4 linked regions of the Sus scrofa genome follow. The protein of the gene in region 1 purifies or fractionates together with the protein of each later gene. This does not show direct contact. Links are inferred from orthologs where the notes say so. Each region holds a gene or a part of one and is shown on either strand. Other genes may lie near its edges. The genes, in order: MAP4K4, STRN3, RAP2C and STRN.

Region 1 (4,801 bases):
GTCTGAAAGGTCATATGTGCACCAGTCCAACTCTGTGTAAATTATTTATACTCATAGATAATTCCATTGCTGTTGGTAGATTAAAAAACAACATAATTTAAAAGCACTACTAAATTCATAGGGAGACTTTGGCTACTACGATTTTCCTAACCAATGGATTCTAGGACTCCCTGAAGATATTTTAGCCTGTTGAGAAATTCTCAATAGTGGAAAATCTTGGAAACCAAACTGTTGGGAGGCAGGAGAGTGCTAAACATTCTGGGTAGAAGACTAATTTGGCTGAGTCAGAGATTTGGATTTTGGGGATAGGCTAGTGAGAATCCCCGTGCCACTTCCAGGCTTAAATGCCTTTAAGGAATTTAGAAAAATTCCTTCTCTTTCAGTACTTGAGTTTCCTCTTCTCTAAAATGAGGATAACATCATCCTAGGGCTAAAGGAGAGATTAAATTGATACTACATGTAAACCAAGAACTGGTAGATAATGATGGTCGTGTTTGTGAAGCCTTTCTGGAAGGGCCTTGGGTTTTCATCCAGTGCGGCTCCAGTTCTCAAAGTGTGATCCGTTGCAGACTCCGGAGGTGGGGTCGGCGGTCAGTGTTTTTCCAAAGGTGCGCTCACGTTTGAGAACTTGTATTCACAGTCTGGCAGGTAATAGGAAGCCACGGAAAGTTTTTGTCAGTGGAGTGATGTGACACAAATGACCGTTGGGCAGACCATATATTCTTGTTTAATAGGATGAAACTGCCTAACTGCTGCCTGGCTGCCAAAGCTGCCGGAAGCAGCCAGCTTTGATGGATCCTCAGTGATCTCTAGGCACTAAACTTGGGTTAACACTTCTGGCTCCCAATACGGTGCTCACCTTTACTGAGCGAGGTACTCAACACAAGGCAATTAGAGGAGCTGTTTGAGATTCAGTTTCCAGCGAAAGTCTCCGGACCGGGCAGCCAAAACAAATGATGCTCCGTGAATCCCGAACCTAACCAGGTCCTCGGTGTAGCCTGGAAAAGGAGAGAAAGGACAAGGAAACCAGGTAGGGAAACCGGAAATGAGGGTCTTAAGCGACTAGAACCCGGGGGTGGGGGAGGGGATGGGAAGAGCGGGGGCGAGGGCGCCTGGAGGACCCTCCTCCGCGGGGATCGCGGCGGAGCCGGGCGCGGCGGGGCGGGGCTCCGGGAGGGAGGAGTCGGCCGGCCCTGCGCCCGGGGGTCCGGGTCGCTTTGCCTTTGTCGCGGGTGCTGGAAGGGCGTGCTCCCCCTCCCCCGCGCCGCCCCGAGACCCCGGCTCCCGCGCGGCCTTTGTCCGGGCCCCACCCCTGTTGAATATTCACGCCGCGCCGCGGACCCCCCCCCCCGGCCCGGCTCCAGGCGCGAGCGCGCTTCCGCCCGCTTTTCCTGCCGGAGGAGGAAAGGGGGAGCTGTTGGCTCTCCTCAGAATCTCTTTTCGGTGTCCCGTTTCTCCTCCTCCCCGCCGCCACCGCCCCCCGCCCCCCGCCTCGCGCCCGCCTCCGCCTCCGCCTCCTGGTCATCTTTGTCTGGCGGCCTCGCGCTCCGGGCTCCACTCTCGGCGGCGCCGCGGCCCCTGCTCCGGGCCGCTCGTGCAGGCGCGCGGCGGGGCGCGGGGCCGGGGCCTGAGGCGCGGGCGACGCCCGGGGGCCTGCCGGCCGCCCCGGCCATGGAGTGAGCGCCGCCGCCGCCCGCCGCCCGGCGCCCGAGCTTGCTCCCGCCTGCCGCCCCCGGCCGCGCCCGCGGGCCCGCGCCACCCGGCCGGGCCTGCGACTCCGAGAGACACACCAGAGACGAATTGATTGTGGTCGATTTGGGGGTGACGAGAAGGGAAAATGGCGAACGATTCCCCCGCGAAAAGTCTGGTGGACATAGACCTGTCCTCCCTTCGGGTGAGTGGCCGCCGCGGGGCCGGGGGACCGGGAGCGGGGCGCTGGGAGCCGGGAGCGGGGCCGCGCCCTGGCCGGCCGGGCGCTCGGGCGCCGCCGTGGGCAGATCCGCGGGCGCGGCGGCCCCTTTGTCTGCCCGAGTCGGCGTGTGCGGGGTCCGGGGCGTGACCCTCCGCCTGCGCCGCCGCCCGGACCCCGACCCCGCGCGCCCCGGGCCCCTATCGCGGCCCCCAGTTGCCGGCCACCTCGCGCCGGGCGAAGCCCACCTCCTCGGTCACCGCCCTTTCTCTCCCGCTGCCCCGCTTCTTTTATTCATTGTTGTGCTGCTTTCCAACGCTCACCCATCCTCCTCTCTTCCTTAGGATCCGGCTGGGATTTTCGAGCTGGTGGAAGTGGTGGGAAATGGCACCTATGGACAAGTCTATAAGGTCGGTGCAGGCGCCTCCTTTGTTTCCCGGGGACGGGTTGAAACTTCTGATCCGGGGACGACGGGGAGGGTGATTGGACACGCCGCCGCCCGGAGGCTCAGCCGAAGTTGGAAGAGGGGTCCGGCCTCGCCGTCCCGCTGTTTTCAGCAGAGTTTATATTCAGACTGGCCTTAAAAGACCTCATTTCTTGGCTCTCAGATAAGGAAATAAGCTCCACTCTTAGGCATGCACCTTTTTTTTTTTTTCTTTTTCTTTTTTTTTTTTCAAGGAAATGGGAAAGCATTTTTGCATCAATCTACATTTTTTTTTCCCCCCTGTCTCTCCCAAATCTGGCCTTCTGAGTTTGTGTGTTAATTAAAATTCTGGATAGGCAGGCCTCGCCTGTGATTATCCTAAACCACTGCTTTGGCCTCCTTGAGAATCGTCTTCGTGTTTCCTCGTTTGAATCCTGGCCAGGCGCTCAATGAGGAGCAGAGTTTGGTGGTGTTACCTGGGAGTACTCCATAACTACCATACATTCTACTGACGGGTACATGTTTTGGGGAGTCAGGAGGGATGTGTGTTTGGGCAATAGGAGCAGGAAGAATTACAGTGTGAGGATTATGCACTCTAAATTCCAGGAATAACCTGTTTGACAGGTGTGTAATTGAAACAGAAAAGAGGCAGAGCCTCTGAGCAAAGAGGATGCCCAGATTTCACACCCACCCCAGGTCTTTCTCTAACAGCACCCCCTCCCCCCACTTGCCCCCAACAGTAAATGAAACTAACAAATCTGAAGACTTCCTGGACACCAGATATGACTAGCCCTGCTGTTCTGGAAATGAGGGTTAGCTGTAGGTAATTGAGGGGGAAGCCTTGAGAATTTGAAACAAATGTGAAATTCTCCCCAGTCCTGATTTGTTTCTTATTACTGAACAGCTTTCTCAAAGTTATCTGCACTGGGGGTGTTTTGTAGCCTGTTAGAGTGTTGTAGCTGGGTACAAGATTGGGACAGAAAAAAAATATCTTATGAAGCAGGGCTTTGTGGTTGGCTGTGAAGAATTGTCATTGTCTCATTAAAAATGGACAGGGGGGGGAGGGAGTGTGTGTGGGGGGGTTGGAAGCTGACTGTAGACCGTTTTCTTAGGCCAAATTAAGTGTGGATCCTATTGTCTCTTTTCTGCTTTGTGAATAGGGCTTATCTGCTTCTCCAAGGCCTCTCCCCAGCCCTAGCTTCCCCTGGCCTGGGCTGTGTACTGGCCTGGGTTGTGTACTGGCCTGTGGCCTGAACTTGAGTCTGTATTCTTAGGTGATCTCTAGTGAATTAGCATGTGTTTTGTTGGTTAACAGTTGGGGCCTCAGCCAGATTTTTGAATTTGAAAGGGAGCCCTGTTAACGCAGCCCGCTGGGCTCAACTGAATTTGGAAGCCTTTGGAAAATTATGGAAAAGATTGTGTTGCAACTCCCCGAGTGGTCTGCTCACTGGCTTAAAAACATTTTCCGGAGCCCCAGTGTTTGTTTAAGCACCGGTAGTTTTTTTCTAACCCAGTTTTTCTGGCTTAATCTGAGTGTTGAGTGTTGTCTTCCAAGTGAGTTAGCCAGAACTTGTTTTGACCTGGTTACACAGTAGTTGGATTGTTTGTGTCTTCTCGGGTCAAGGTGGGTGTGAGTGCTGGTGAAGTAAATTAGAAGCTGACTGTCCTTTTTTTTTTTTTTTTTTTTTTTTTTTAATCGTTAGAATAAAGAATGAGACCTGAATGTGTCCTCATTGGTTTAAGAGTTAGGAATTCTTTTTTTTTTGGTCTTTTTGCCATTTCTTGGGCCACTCCTGCAGCATATGGAGGTTCCCAGGTTAGGGGTCAAATTGGAGCTGTAGCCACTGGCCTACGCCAGAGCCACAGCAACGCAGGATCCGAGCCGTGTCTGCAACCTACACCACAGCTCAGGGCAATGCTGGATCCTTAACCCACTGAGCAAGGGCAGGGATTGAACCCGCAACCTCGTGGTTCCTAGTCGGATTCGTTAACCACTGCGCCACGACGGGAACTCCCAAGAGTCAGGAATTCTTTATGGGGGCAGTTGGGGCAGGTTCATAGCCAAGGGCTTCCCCTCGTACTTCTCTCTTGTGGTTCCCCTTTTCCCCAAGCTTTTGAGGTACATTTGCTGAGCACGATCTTTGGGAGGTGTTGGGCATGGTGGCAGTGGCACAGTGTCACTACAGTCAGTGTAGCTAAGGAGAAACTCTCATATTATGCAAACCTGAGGAATTAAGAAATCTGTGCATCAGTGGCATGCAATCCGGAGCAAGAGTGCCTGAGGTTTTTTTCTCGCCTGCCCTGCCGTTATTTTATTATTACGGAGAGTTTGAAACTGATGCCAAAGAGAGAGCACCAGTTTAACAGTTACCAGCACGTGATTAATCTGGTTTTGTCTGCCTCCCCTCTCCTCCCATTATCTTAAAGCCCAGATACTGTTTCACCCAAAGATACTTCAGGATGTGCCT
Region 2 (4,166 bases), on another chromosome or scaffold:
GTAAAGTTGTAACAGTGATTCCAGTAGATTAGGTGAGAGATAATGTTGTCAAGATTAGAGTGGTCGTAGAGCAGTGGTAGCAGAGCACTTGGAGAGAAATGGATTTAAGGCATGCTGGATTGAAATGTCCATGTACTAAGCCTCAAAACAACAATAAAATTCTCAATTATGAAAGAAAAAAAAAAAAGACATGCTGGAGAGGTGGGGGGAATAGACAGAATATATGATAAATTGGATTAAGTGGATGAAATGATGGATGAGTGACTTATTCTTTAACAGCTTTATTTAGGTACAATTCACATGATAAAATTCACACTTTTGAAGTATACATTTCAGTAGTTTTTACCATATTCACAGGGATGGGCAACCATTACCACTGTTTATTTCAGAACTTTCGTCACCACTCCTGCATTTTTGGCATGAGCAATTGAGTATATGATGGTAGCATATTGAAATGGGGACAGACAGGTGTGAGAAGATAAAGGATGGTGAGTTCAGTTTTTTGGCATGTTAAGAGATGGTAATCTTAAGTAAGTATATCAGTATCAAGATGTGAGAATGGATGGTATTATGTAGGGAGAATATGTCATGTAGAGTAGAAAGAGAAGACAAAATCCTGAGGAACTCTGACATTGGGGGCCAGGAGTAGTTAGAGCAAGAGAGGCAATGAAGAAAACTGAGAAGGAGTGGCCTGTGAGGTAGGAGGAAGTACAGGTAAGTGTGGAATCATGAAAGCATACCAGAAGAAGAAGCCATTTTGAAAAGAAGAAAGCAGTCTGCAGTAGTCATTTTCAATAAATAAGAAAAGTCTAATGTGATAGGTTCCTTTTTGTAAATAACAAATAGGTCACCCAGGCTTTGGCCAGACAATATAGATTGGGTTGGGGCTAAGGGGTGAAGGGACTTCTAAGTAACCTTTCAAGGCATACACTATGGATGAAAAGCAATGTGCTAGGAGGGAGGGAGGAAGGGAAGCAAGTTTTTATTAAATTTGATAGAATAGAGTTTATTGGTTATTTTAGCAAGGGTTGTTTTGCTGTGTGATGGTATCGGAGTGATTTCAAGAATAAATGGGAGGTTAGAAAGCATGTTTATTCAATATATTTTTCTACTATTTGGTGGGAGGTTGGTGTAATTGTTTGGAGCATATTTGCTTGCTGTGGTAATTATTCCAAGGAGGAAGAGAATCTGTATAGTAGAAAAACTGTAAACATGAAAGCAAGTTAGTGTTTTAAGGGGAATCCAGAATACCTGGTGGAATTAGCCTGTAATAGGAAGGAGGATAATTCCTTACTTGTATGAGGAAATGTACAGAAGATGGCTTTAGACACTAGTAGCTTTATAGGTTGGCTAGAGGAAGATAGAGGATGGGTTCCTATTTCAGTGCTGCGTTTTTCCAGTGACATTGAGAGAAAATTGTTCATGAGGGAGGGAGGGAGGTTGGGAAGTGGGAGTGTTGCAGAGATGAAGAGAAATATCTGTGGAAGCTGGGAATTTAGTAGAGAAACCACATTGTAAGACAAATGATGTTCAGGGTAATTAGCCACCATTGTCCATCAAATAATGATTGGATGAATAAAATGTAGTATATCCAGGTACTGGAATGCTATTTGGCAATAAGAAGCAATGAAGTACTGATACATGCTCCACGTTAGGCTAAGTGAAAGAAGCCAGTCACAAAAGGCCATTTGTATGAAATGTCCAGAATAGGCAAATGTATAGAAAAAAAATAGATTAGTTGTTGCCCAGGGCTACAGAAAGGCAGAGAGAAAGAATAGGGGAAATAGCTAAAAAGTAATGAAAGTGTGCTAAAATTGATGTGGTGATGATTGCACAACTAAAAACCATTGAATTGACACTTTAAATTGGTGAGTTTTATGGCATAGGAATTATATCTCAATAAAGCTGTTTTTTTTTTTTGTAAGTACATGTTCTTTATAGAAAATTGCAAAACTAAAAAAGTATTGGAAGGGGGGATAAAAATAACTCATAATTCCAGAACTTAGAGGTGGTTACTGTGTACACTTTGGTTTGTCTTATTATACCCATTATGTACATTCTTTATACATAATTATGTGGTAAGTTATCCTTATATACAAAAGCATTTATTTTAAACTTCTTGTAGCTCATTTTTATTTCTTTCTTTCCAGAGCCAAATGTTCTAGCTGGCACTTTAGTTGCTCATACAGATGCTGTCTGGGGTCTTGCTTATAGTGGCATAAAAAATCAATTACTATCTTGTTCAGCAGATGGCACTATTAGGTTATGGAATCCACAAGAAAAATTGCCATGTATTTGCACTTACAACGGAGACAAGGGTAAGGAAATTTTGCCTCTTTGAAAAAAACTAATTTCTTTTAAATTTGGAAGATAGGAGTTCCCGTTGTGGCTCAGTGGTTAACGAATCCAACTAGGAATCATGACGTTGTGGGTTCGATCCCTGGCCTTGCTCAGTGGGTTAAGAATCCACTGTTGCCATGAGCTGCGGTGTAGGTTGCAGATGCAGCTCAGATCCCGCGTTGCTATGGCTCTGGCATAGGCTGGTGGCTACAGCTCCAATTAGACCCCTAGCCTGGGAACTTCCATATGCTGCGGGAATGGCCCTAGAAGAGGCAAAAAGACATAAATAAATAAATAAATAAATAAATTTGGAAGATAGGACAAAGTCAATTTACTGTTTCTTGGCCGCTTGAAGAAATACTAAAAGAACTTTGTGAAGCTGTGATAATCTTTTTTACTCCTAGTCATCTTCAATAAACAAGAAAGGAGCTTTTGCAAGTATATCCTGTAGCTGGGTGCTTTTTTGACCTTTTTCAGGACAACAGAATAGAACTGTCTGTATGTAACAGTAGACAGATGAGACTGCTCAAAGGAACAATAGCTCTTCATCAGCTCTTGTGGCTGTGACTAAAGGGGTCACAGTCTCAAGCATACCTGTGTAAACCATGTGTGATGTGAGCTCACTGGTTGATATGTCTAGCACCCATAACTGGGAGGTGCAAACTGAGTTACACACACAATTTCAAATCTTTTCCTGTCAAAGAAGGCTTTAATTAACCTTGTTGTGACATTTATTTACATAACATGCTTATATTATTTCTTTGATCTTATTTTCCAAGCAGTTTTTTAAAAAATCATATCTTTTTTTTTCATGTCTTTTATTTTTATTTTTTCTTTTTAAAACATTTTTTATAACATTTATGCTTGATTTTCTTGGGTCTCTAGATAGTTTAGTGATTTACTAATTTTTCAGTTATCTAAGCTTTTGAGGTAAAAATTTGGTTAGATATTTGTTTCTTGGCTTCATTCACATAATTAATTCTTACTCAAGATTTCATGTAGTTGTGCATTGCATTTGGACAGTTGAATTTAGTATGTTAAAAGAGGGAAATTGCTGGAATTCCCATCGTAGTGCAGCAGAGGTGAATCCAACTAGGAACCATGAGGTTGCGGGCTCAATCCCTGGCCTTGCGCAGTGGGTTAAGGATCTGATATTGCTGTGAGCTGTGGTATAGGTCGCAGACGTGGCTCGGGTTTGGCGTTGCTGTGGCTGTGGTGCAGGCTGGCAGCTGTAGTTCCAATTCGACCCCTAGCCTGGGAACCTCTATATGCCTTGAGAACGACCCTAAAAAGCAAAAAATTAAAAATTAAAAAAATAAAAGAAATTGCTGCTTGGGTCACGTTAGTATAGTGTATTGCATGAATGGATTTAGAGTCCAAAGCTTCTTTTTCAGATCCAAAAGTTTGACTTTTATTAGCTGCTTGATAAAGCTTACAGGTCTCATTCACCAAACATAGTGATATGGTGAATGCTAATTTATCCTTTTACATTAAGAAATTTAATTGGCGGGTGGGCCCAAAGACTCAATTAGAATTTTTTTTCTCTCTTAGAAGAAGAAAATGCATAGGAGAACAGTAACTCTTATGCATATCTACTCTTACTTTGAGTCCTCTAGTTATATTTTTCTTATAATGTTAAGTAGAATATTATAAATATTTTTAATAATTGAGAGAAAGTTAACTATTATTATATCTCACCATTCCTAACACAATTGCTTTTTCATTATTAACATTATTTCAAAAATATTTTAATTCCCTTTTCTTAATAGAAAGTAGAGATTTTTCAGTTACTGTGTTTACACTGTTTCTCTTTGGGCTGCTTTCAG
Region 3 (4,678 bases), on another chromosome or scaffold:
AGAGGATCACCTCCAGTTTGGCCACCCAGCCAGGGGTTAGAAATCTGCCCTTGCTCAGTGTCCCCAGATCCACATATTCTCTACAAATAGAGTCAATGTTATCAGAAACAGTTTGGAAGAACTGCAAAAAAGGAGAGCTGTTCTAGATTTGTGTTTGTTATTAATTCTAGGTACCAGTCTTTTCAATGAGTAACTTCCCTTCACATGCCCCAAGTAAGTAAAATGCCTAGAAGGCAGGTCTTGAGTTCTTCATCTTGCAGCACTAAGATAGAGAAATCTGGTTGAGAGACTTAGGTGAGAACAGAGGGGAGGAAGGGACGTAGACGCAGAGGAGTTATCTGTGCAACAGATAATCGGCTCCAAATAATTTTCTTTCCAAAGTGCTCTATCTGCCCGAGATTATCTTTGAAACGTTGTTCTGCTGAGTACATTAACCAAGACCTGGTGAGGTGAACGAGCAACTTCAGATGGTTATATGCCAGGCTAAATATACACTGGCTGACATGTCTTTTTCACTTCTCTTTCACTCGAAAATAACTTTAAAATATTTGTGAACGGTAGTGCCTTTAGTCCTCGCTATAGAAACAACTCGATGCTTTTCCGTGCCAGGAGAAACCTCAAAAATGCGCCATGTCTAACTTTCAAAAGCAAAACACAGTCATTTACGCAAGCAAACCAGAAGTAAATGTAGTTTACCACACCCCCTTCTAACAAATTACAAGACTTGGTTACCTGAAAAGACTGTTGATTAACCAGACTATAAACCAGGATGAAACCTTGGCCGTTTTTGATGTAGAGATCTCTCATGGAGGCAAACTGCTCAGTTCCTGCGGTGTCCAGAATTTCCAGCACGGAGGGGGAAGAGTCCACTTCGATCTCTTTGCGGTAGAAATCTTCAATGGTGGGGTCATATTTCTCAATGAAAGTCCCGGTGACAAACTGCACAGTAAGGGCAGATTTGCCAACCCCTCCGCTCCCTAACACCACTACCTTGTACTCCCGCATGAGTCTCTCCTTCACCAACTCCTACCAGAGGGAGGGAAAAATAACACCCCGCTCGCGGCGGCGCGGCTCGGGGAGGCGGAAGGTGGGCGGAAATCTGCGAACCCGGGAGGAGAGCGCAGAGCAGCCGAGGGCCCGACGGGGGAAGAAGAGGAAGTTAAAGGAGGGGGAGGGGAAAGAGCGAAGTGTCGGGGTGGGTGGGGATGGGATGGTAATGCCCTTCCTATAGGAACCGGAGCCCAGGCAGGGGGCGTGGGGAGAAGGCGAGCCCCGAAAAGCTGGGAGGCTGGGGAGGCGACACGCGCCCCCCGCCCCGGGAGGGAAGGGGTGGGCGCCGCAGGACAGACGGGGGGCCCCCCGCGGAAGGCGGGCGTCCGAGGAGCCCGCGGCCCGGGGCTGCCCCGCGCCCCTCCCCCGCCCTTCACACAAAGGGGCCCAGGGACCCCGCTTCCTGCTCGCGCCGCCGAGCCAGCCCAGGCCTGTGGGCTCCGCTCCAGTCGCTGCCGCCCGGGCGGGTCTCTGGGCCGCGGCTCCCGCGGGCGTCGTCCGGCCTGTGATGGGGGGGTGGGGGGCGGAGAGGGCGCGCGTTACCCGCCGGACCCCCGCCCGCCCCCGTCGGGCAGCCCGGGCGGCCGCCTCCCCCGGCTCCCACCCGGGCCCGGCCGCCCCCGCTTACCCTGCCGTCCGCACCCGCCCGGCCGCCCGGGAGGCTGTGTCACGCCAAGGCCATGGCCACTGGCCGGCTCCTCGGTCTCACCGCCGCCCCTGCGCTGCGGCTCGCGGAGGGGAAAGGGGCGGGGGCCGTCCGGCGGCGGCGGCGGCAGCGGCGGCGGCCGCTGGGACTCCAGGCGAACCCACCTCTTTTTTTTTTTTTTTTTTTTCTCACCCTCCCCCCACCCCCCCACCCCCAGCACACACCCGGAAGGGTTTCCCTGACACACTGGTGGAGGTGCCCCAGTTCCCTGAGACGGGACGGGATCACTTCCGGTGGGGAAAGTCCCACCTCTCCCGGGGCGAGCCGGGTGGCGCTGGGGCCGCGCCCTGCTGAGCGAGTCGGCCCAGGACGGTTTCGGGTCGGGGCTACGGCCTTGGCAAAGGGCCTGTCCGAGAACCTCCGGCGCCCTTCCTTTCTCTGCCTGCCCGCAACTGCTGTTCCTGCTGCTGCTGCTGCTGCTGCTGCTGCCGCTGCTGCTGCGGACAGTCCCACCCCCGAGCCCGCGGAAGCCCCTAGGAGTCTCAGCAGCCCCCGGCCCGGCCTGAGGACTTGATCCGCTGGTTGGCGGAGCTAAAGATCCGCACAACGCCTATCATCCCTGGACCAGAAGTCGCAGGGAAAATAAAACGGCCGAGAAAGTTGATGCTCTTTGCTGGTATTTTCATGCACTTGCTATTTTTCTAAGAAACGCGTGCACATTAGCCTTCGACTTCACGAATAGCTCGGATTTCATATGTGGTGTGTTTTATTTAGCTGTGCCTGACAGTTAACGCACACACACTCGGTACTTTTATCATCCGGTAAATCTGCCTTGACTCCACCAGCAAATGCCGAAGCCACTCCTTTCTTTCTTATCGCCAGGCTCGAAAACCAAAGGGATTAGGAGTAGCCTTTATGGGACTCTAACTCAGCTTTGTCCCTTTTGGAGTCCCCAGGCTTCGCAGCGGGGAAGAGTTGATTGGAAACTGTTTAGGCCTGCACGCTAACTTCTTTGAATCTTTTCATTATCTGCAGGCACAGCAATTTGCATGGCTGGCTCTTCCAAGTTAAAGTTTGTTTTAAGTCTTTGAAATTCAAAAGCAGAGGACTTAGTGCTAACCACTAAGTTTCTATTTTTAGATAAAATTGTTACTTTTTACATATCTTACCCTCTGCTAACTTTCTATTTGTAAACTTTGTGTCCGATCCACAGAGCCCCAGGGTCAGAAGCCTAGGTTATATTTTAGGAATGTCACTCCTTTTCTGATTCTAGCATGCACCCCGACGCCTGAAAGTCAGTGACCAGTCGAGTTAAAGCGACCCCAAATCCCTTACGTGGAAGCCTTAATGGCCTGACTGTATCAAAAGGGATTTGTTACCAAACCCAAATTGTGTAACATTAGAAAACAGGCAAATTACAGTCGTGTGAAATCCCACTGTCTCTCCCTGGGTGCTCCCCAATGTCACTTACAGTATCCAAGGGACAGTTACGTTCACTTTCTCCTCAGCCTAGGGCTGGTGCAATCTGTCCAGCGAAGTTCCCAGCTCTGGCTCCAGCTGGCCCGCGTCCCGCCTGATATCTGAGGCACTGCCCTCTGCTGGAAGAGGTTTGGTCTATGAATTATGAGTCTTCCCCATAGGTCACTGCTCCTTCCACACGTGCTGTTGCCGGATTTGGAGCTCTGCTGCCCATCTCCCTGTCTAGCTGTCTCCAGACTGTCTGGGGGGGGGGGGGATGGGGGGGGGGAAATCCATAGCCCTGTACCAGCCCTGCTTGGAACTGAGTCTGGAAATTCCTCCTCTGATCCAGCAATTAGTGTTGGGCAATTGTGGCAAGTCTGTGCTCTGTCACTAAACTGTCAAAACAGGCTGCTCTTCTTTTTGAGGTGGTCCCACTTGTTGGCAACTCTAATATCTCTGAATGTGTTGGCCAAACTATTTTGGAGAGAATTCTTTGTTTCTCCACACAGTGAAACATACTCCTTACCGAAGTACAGAGTCCTACTGGGACACTCTTATTGGCTACAGAATTGGCAAATGTCACACTCATTCTGATGACCCTTCTAAACTTTCTTAGAAAGTGTATTCATTACAGCAGCATTTTAGGAAAGCACACACTTGGAAGTAACTTAAGTCTCCTTCAACAGATGATTTAAAAAAGTAATGTGTGTACACACACACACGGAAACACTTGCAAGTAACCTAAATGTCCTTTGATAGACGATGTAAAAAATAATGTACACACACACACTTGGAAACACTCGAAAGTCACCTAAACATCCTTCACTAGATGATTTAAAAAATCATGCACGCGCACACACACACACTCACAAAATAGGAGACCATGCAGCTATTTAAAAGAGAAAAAGTAGATTTGTAAGTGCTGTTATGAAAAGACGGTCAAGGTATATTGTGAGGATGAAAAAAGTTAGATGCTGAGCAAAGAGATAGTTGCTCCCATTTATGTAAAATATGTGAGTGTGTGCAATATGTAATTACATAGCCATTAAAATCTGAAACAAAGGCATTAATTATTGGTGAGGGGTATTCTGAAAGGACTTTGATTTCTCCATATCATTTTAATTTCTAAGCCATGATCAGGTATTACTGGGGAAAAGAGGAATAAATATAATTTTATAATATTTTTAGAGAAGAAATATAAAATGTTGCTCATCGTTTCCTCCACCCCCCCCCAATATCCTGACTGTCTGGGGTCAGTGGGCAGGTCTGCCCAATTTAAACTCCCTCCTCCTGCCCATCCTGTCCTCCCAAACATCTCTATACTTAGAAAAGTATTTTCACATACATTATCTCATTAGACTCCAGTTGTTCACCCGTTTACTTTTATTAGGCAATGAGAGTATAAACACCAATTAGAAGAGGACAGCCCAGCAGTTGAGAGCCATGGGCCCCGAAGCAAGGCAGACAGGCCTTTCAAGGGCAACTCCTCCACCTCCTAGCTGTGGGACCTCGAGCAAGTGA
Region 4 (4,896 bases), about 51 Mb from region 1:
ATAGATTTGATAAGTAAGGGAGGAGATAATCTGTTAATGGAAAGATTGATGAACTAACAATCAGTAATTCTCATTTCTAGTTTTGCCTGCGCCACTCACTCAAAGTCTTATTGTGAAAAAGTTAAACTTCTTTAGAATCCCAAACCGTAAAATGAGAGGACTGGGCAGTATCTCAAAGGATACTTACAGCCAAAATAATTTATGACACAGGGAGTTGGCCAGGCCTGGATCAAACTTTTATTACAATAAAGAATGAATTCATAAAGCAGAAACATTCAATAACTGGGAGAAGAGAGCTAGCCATCTTTATTTGCAACCAGAGCAGATACAATGTGTTTCCTGTCCTTTCCACAAGTAGCAGTGGGAAGAGGGGGAGGGGGAATACAGGGACAGGATGTCCTTCCCTGACATGTCACTCACTAGCCTATATTTTTATATTTTTTTCCATGGCCATTAGGTTTGATATCCCAGAAGCCCATCCCACAAAAGAACTACAAATAACTTTTTGTAGGGACAAAATAAGTGCTTAATTTCATTTTCACTTGTTAAATTTTTTCAGGTCCCTTCCTTTCATTATCATTGTAGTGTGAATTAATAAGTGACATAATTTCAAGAACTTGGGAGAAGGATAACATTTAGAGAGAAACACTTGAAAGGACTTTGATGGGCCTTTGGTAGATTAATACTATTGCCAGATTGCAAGTGAAACGTGGAAGAAACTGGGAACCGGACAAGTGAAAAAGGAGAGGTGCCCGGATACCTAAGATAGCTCTAGGGAGTAGAAAGGGATTTTGTTCTTTTAAATAGTGTAACTTTAGGGCATTGCGAGAATTGATTGTATAGTTGCCAGTCTGCCTTTGAAGACAGGAACTGTGTCATTTATCTTTATATCCCCAATGAGATAACTTACAGTCAAATATTTGTTGAAATGTGTACCGACTGCTCAGGGATAAGGAAAAATGAGTTCGAAATAAAAGAGCCTTGGATATTTGTAACGTTTACAGGATTTACTGCAAGCTATAAAGGAGGTGAAGCAGAGCCCTGTTTTAGATGTGGTGTCACCAAACCAAAAATTGCAAGAAACAGAAAGCTGCTGTGTTGCGTTCAGGACAGAGAGATGATTAGTTCCTTCTAAATGAAAAGTGATCAGGCAACAGGTTTGACTGAACCTCTAGCGAGAAAAAAGGCAGGAACGACCGCGATAAGGAGATGGACAGAAGTGGAGTGTCTTGGGTCAGAGAATCACTCTAGACAGAGCAGAAGGGAGAGGTCCGAGCGTGCTGGCTAGAGAATCCCGGGCCATGGGGTCGGACCGGCGAAGCTTGCTTTGAGCTTGTTTCTTAACAGAACTACCAGGAAGCCGTAGGAGATGTGCAGCTTAGGCTGGCATTTCGGCGCGGTAACTTCCGTGTGTGTGTGTGTGTGTGTGTGTGTGTCTGCAACAGTGAGCGCCTTGTGTGTGTGTGTGTATGCGCGCCACAGTGAGCGCCGCCCAAGAACTTCCGCGTGCTAGGGAGGCTGGAGGACCGCCAGCCAGCCCCTGCTTAACCAAGAGGAAACCCGCGCTCCCCGCCGGGGGCCGCCCCTTCTCCGCCATGGGCTGGGGCGGGCCCGGGGGCGGGGCCGCGGTGGAGCCGCAGCCGGTCGCAACCCCTCAGGCAGCCCGGGCGGTGCTCGCCGGCACCACGCCCCGCGACTACATTTCCCAGCAAGCCCCGCGCCGCCCGCGCACCGCAGTTGACCCATTTCCCGGCCCGTCCCGAGCTCGGCCGGCCCCCGCGCCCAGGCGGCTGCTCCCTGCTGACTGGGGTGTGGGCGGGGAGCGGCGGAGGGAGGAGGAGACGCTGCTGGCCGCCGCCGTTGCCTCAGCTGCTGGGCGCCTGGGCAGCTCCCCGGGTTCCTGCGGCCGCCATGGACGAGCAGGCGGGTCCCGGCGTCTTCTTCAGCAACAACCACCCGGGCGCCAGCGGTGCCAAGGGTCTCGGGCCTCTGGCGGAGGCTGCCGCGGCCGGCGACGGGGCGGCTGCGGCGGGGGCGGCGCGAGCCCAGTACAGCCTCCCGGGAATCCTGCACTTCCTTCAGCACGAGTGGGCCCGCTTCGAAGTGGAGAGAGCCCAGTGGGAAGTAGAGCGGGCGGAGCTGCAGGTAAAGACCCTCCCGGCCTGGCCGTCTTCATCCCGCCTCTCCGCTCTCTTCCGCCCCGCCCCGGACCCTTCCCCCTCCCCCGCTCCGCTCGCTCGTCCCCTCCCCCTTTGCTCCAGCCCATCCCACCCAGAACCTCATCCCCTTCCTCCCTTCACCTTTGCCTTTAGGTGACCCCACTTCCTCGACCCGGGTTCCCACTCCCAGCTCCCCCCCCCATGCGTTGTTTACCCTCCCCGCACCTTTTCGTCTGCTCCTTCCCACTCTTAACTCTCAGGCTTGTTTGAACTCTCTCGCCATTCCACATTTTAGGTCTTCCCTTTCAGTTTACTAATTGGGCTGACAGTAGTTTTGAGAGATGAGCAAATCATCCCCTATCCTAGTGAGTGGCCCTCCTAGGTCTAGAGAAGATGCCTGGAAAAGGTATTGACAGTTGGCGCCTCTCTGTGAGGAAGGCGATCAGAGAAGACAACAGAAGTTGTATCCGTGAGGCCTTGACTTTAAGGCAAGAAGCTGCCGTTGGGTCAAAGTGTTACTAGGAATATCTGCTCCCTTTTTATATATGTAAATGTTTCTTCTTTTACTTCTTCCTCATCCCATCCCGCGTTTCTTTTAGATATTTCAGACTCGTGGATTTTGAATGAAGAATCTAGATAGATAATCACAGTCAGATAATGGTTCAGAGATGGTTTCTTGTTCTCAGAATCTAAAACTTCCCAAGGGTTAATTTTATGTTCAGGGTTTTGTGAGACTGACTTGTACTTTAAAAGGAACTAAAAGGAGCTTCAAAGTTGGTTACATTTCCTTGCATAATCTACAAGATAAAGTATATCCAGGGAGGAGCTATTGTGGGATCTTGGAAGAATGAAAGTGAGGCTGATACTTTGCAGGCCATTCTGAACTGGTAAGTAGGTTTCAGTGGCTGTTTTTAAAACTTCCAAGGCATACACTAATTTCACAAGGAATTTAAAGAACTACGAGTGGCTCTGCCTTTCTGTCTTTCTGGCTAATCCTGTATGCTTGTGAAATCTGAGTATAGTTTTGGTTGGTGAAACACTTGAAGTTAAAGTGCTACCCACTGTGTCACTTTTTTTGGTACCATGTATTTTCTTTGGCACTTAAGAGGAAAGAAGAAACAATCATGTTAAATAGAATCATGTGCTGTAACAGGCTGCTTTGGTGTAGTGCAAGTGGTTGTGGAAAGAGCAAGCAGAAGGGGTTACAGTATAAGCTGTGCTTGCTGCCTGCTCTTTGACCTTGAGGAAATCCTTTAACTTTTCTGAACTTCAGTTTCATCATTTATTTATTCAGCGTATTTATTGAATGCGTATTTATTGAGTAACTGTAGTTACTCCTCAGTTTTGCCCTCTCTACCTTACCCCCTCCCTGCCCCAATATATACACACACACTACTTACTGGGTTATTTATGGCAAATGTTAAACTTCAAGTAGGTTTCCCATTGGTGCTTATACTAAGGGCACTACATTTTTACAGTATCTTGGTTTGTGCTCCAGTTCAATTAAGCATCCATGGAGAAACTTAGAAAATGTGCCATAGTTTTTTGTTTTTTGGTTTTTTTTTTTTGGTCTTTTGTCTTTTGAGGGCCACACCTGCGGCATATGGAGGTTCCCAGGCTAGGGGTCTAATTAGAGCCGTAACTTTTGGCCCATGCCAGAGCCACAGCCACACCAGATCCAAGCCATGTCTATGACCTATACCACAGGTCATGGCAACACCGGATCCTTAACCCACTGAGCGAGGCCAGGGATCGAACTCACAACCTCGTGGTTCCTAGTCGGATTCGTTCCGATGCGCCATGACAGGAATTCCTGCATAGTTTTTAAACAGAGCAAATAGGCATTTTGGGAGGAGGGAGTTTCCAGGAATCTGTGGTTTTTGACCTCCTTATTAGTATAATTGAATATATATTTTAAAAATAATTTCTTTATATCAACATCATTAAATTCGACCATATCCCTTCTTTTTTCCATCAGAATCTTTCTAGTAGGAAATAAGAATTGAATGAATGGTAATGAAATTTGGAACAGTTGGTATCATCTTTTTAATTTTTAAATCTCTTCTTAAGTCAATACCAGAGTCAACAAAAATACTTTTAAGATTAGGTCTGATTTTTCTCTTCAGGAACCTGTCAGTCCTGCTCTTTCAAGTTGCCTGGGCAGAGTTGTGAAAGGCAACCCAAGCTCTCATCTCCCTGGCTTGCTTACACCATATCCTCCGTCCTTCAGATCTTGGGAGTAAGGAACTGGCCACATTATGCCAAAAACTTATTCGTCATTTCTTGCCCCCTTGTCCATCTTTGTTAACATAAAACTCTCTTTTTATTTTTGGCAATCTCTCTCCCACCTTCCCAGCACCATTCAAATGAGAGTAGGTAATTTATGGGAAAAAAATGGTCAAGATTATTCCTGAGCTTTATATTTGTGAAAGAAATTGAAGATAGAATATAAATCATAATATTTTAAAGATTTTTTAGTGTAGGAGACATTGTGCTAAATGCTCTCAAACATGCTGTCTAGTTGGAGTAATAGAACAAACAAATTGCATAGGAATCAATTTTTATCATTTTGGGGGCTTAAATTTTCTGTAAAGAGTGTAAGAAAGGAGAGCTAGTGGTGAATTGGGAGGGTAGAAGGGAAAAAGACCTTATGAAGCTGCAGTTCCCGTCGTGGCGCAGTGGTTATCGAATCCGACTAGGAACCATGAGATTGCGGGTTTGATCCTGGCCTTGCTCA

Evidence for each region.
Region 2: the proteins of MAP4K4 (region 1) and STRN3 purify together in Homo sapiens (affinity purification with mass spectrometry; 4 studies listed by BioGRID and IntAct, with this or other methods). This does not show direct contact. The link is inferred for Sus scrofa from reciprocal best matches to the Homo sapiens genes MAP4K4 and STRN3.
Region 3: the proteins of MAP4K4 (region 1) and RAP2C purify together in Homo sapiens (affinity purification with mass spectrometry; 3 studies listed by BioGRID and IntAct, counting the BioPlex papers as one, with this or other methods). This does not show direct contact. The link is inferred for Sus scrofa from reciprocal best matches to the Homo sapiens genes MAP4K4 and RAP2C.
Region 4: the proteins of MAP4K4 (region 1) and STRN purify together in Homo sapiens (affinity purification with mass spectrometry; 4 studies listed by BioGRID and IntAct, with this or other methods). This does not show direct contact. The link is inferred for Sus scrofa from reciprocal best matches to the Homo sapiens genes MAP4K4 and STRN.

What each region holds. Positions count from the first base shown.
Region 1 is NC_010445.4:52,646,360-52,651,160, reverse strand, and holds the start of MAP4K4 (mitogen-activated protein kinase kinase kinase kinase 4), read left to right. Parts: upstream 1-1,680; 5' UTR 1,681-1,837; coding exon 1,838-1,894; intron 1,895-2,232; exon of another isoform or gene 2,233-2,253; coding exon 2,254-2,319; exon of another isoform or gene 2,320-2,516; intron 2,517-4,801.
Region 2 is NC_010449.5:68,561,050-68,565,215, forward strand, and holds part of STRN3 (striatin-3), read left to right. Parts: intron 1-2,150; coding exon 2,151-2,318; intron 2,319-4,166. UniProt on the Homo sapiens protein: Calmodulin-binding scaffolding protein which is the center of the striatin-interacting phosphatase and kinase (STRIPAK) complexes.
Region 3 is NC_010461.5:108,345,152-108,349,829, forward strand, and holds the start of RAP2C (ras-related protein Rap-2c), read right to left. Parts: upstream 3,282-4,678; 5' UTR 3,168-3,281; intron 1,768-3,167; exon of another isoform or gene 1,679-1,767; intron 1,554-1,678; 5' UTR 1,006-1,553; coding exon 733-1,005; intron 1-732. UniProt on the Homo sapiens protein: Small GTP-binding protein which cycles between a GDP-bound inactive and a GTP-bound active form. May play a role in cytoskeletal rearrangements and regulate cell spreading through activation of the effector TNIK.
Region 4 is NC_010445.4:103,248,059-103,252,954, forward strand, and holds the start of STRN (striatin), read left to right. Parts: upstream 1-1,767; 5' UTR 1,768-1,911; coding exon 1,912-2,145; intron 2,146-4,896. UniProt on the Homo sapiens protein: Calmodulin-binding scaffolding protein which is the center of the striatin-interacting phosphatase and kinase (STRIPAK) complexes.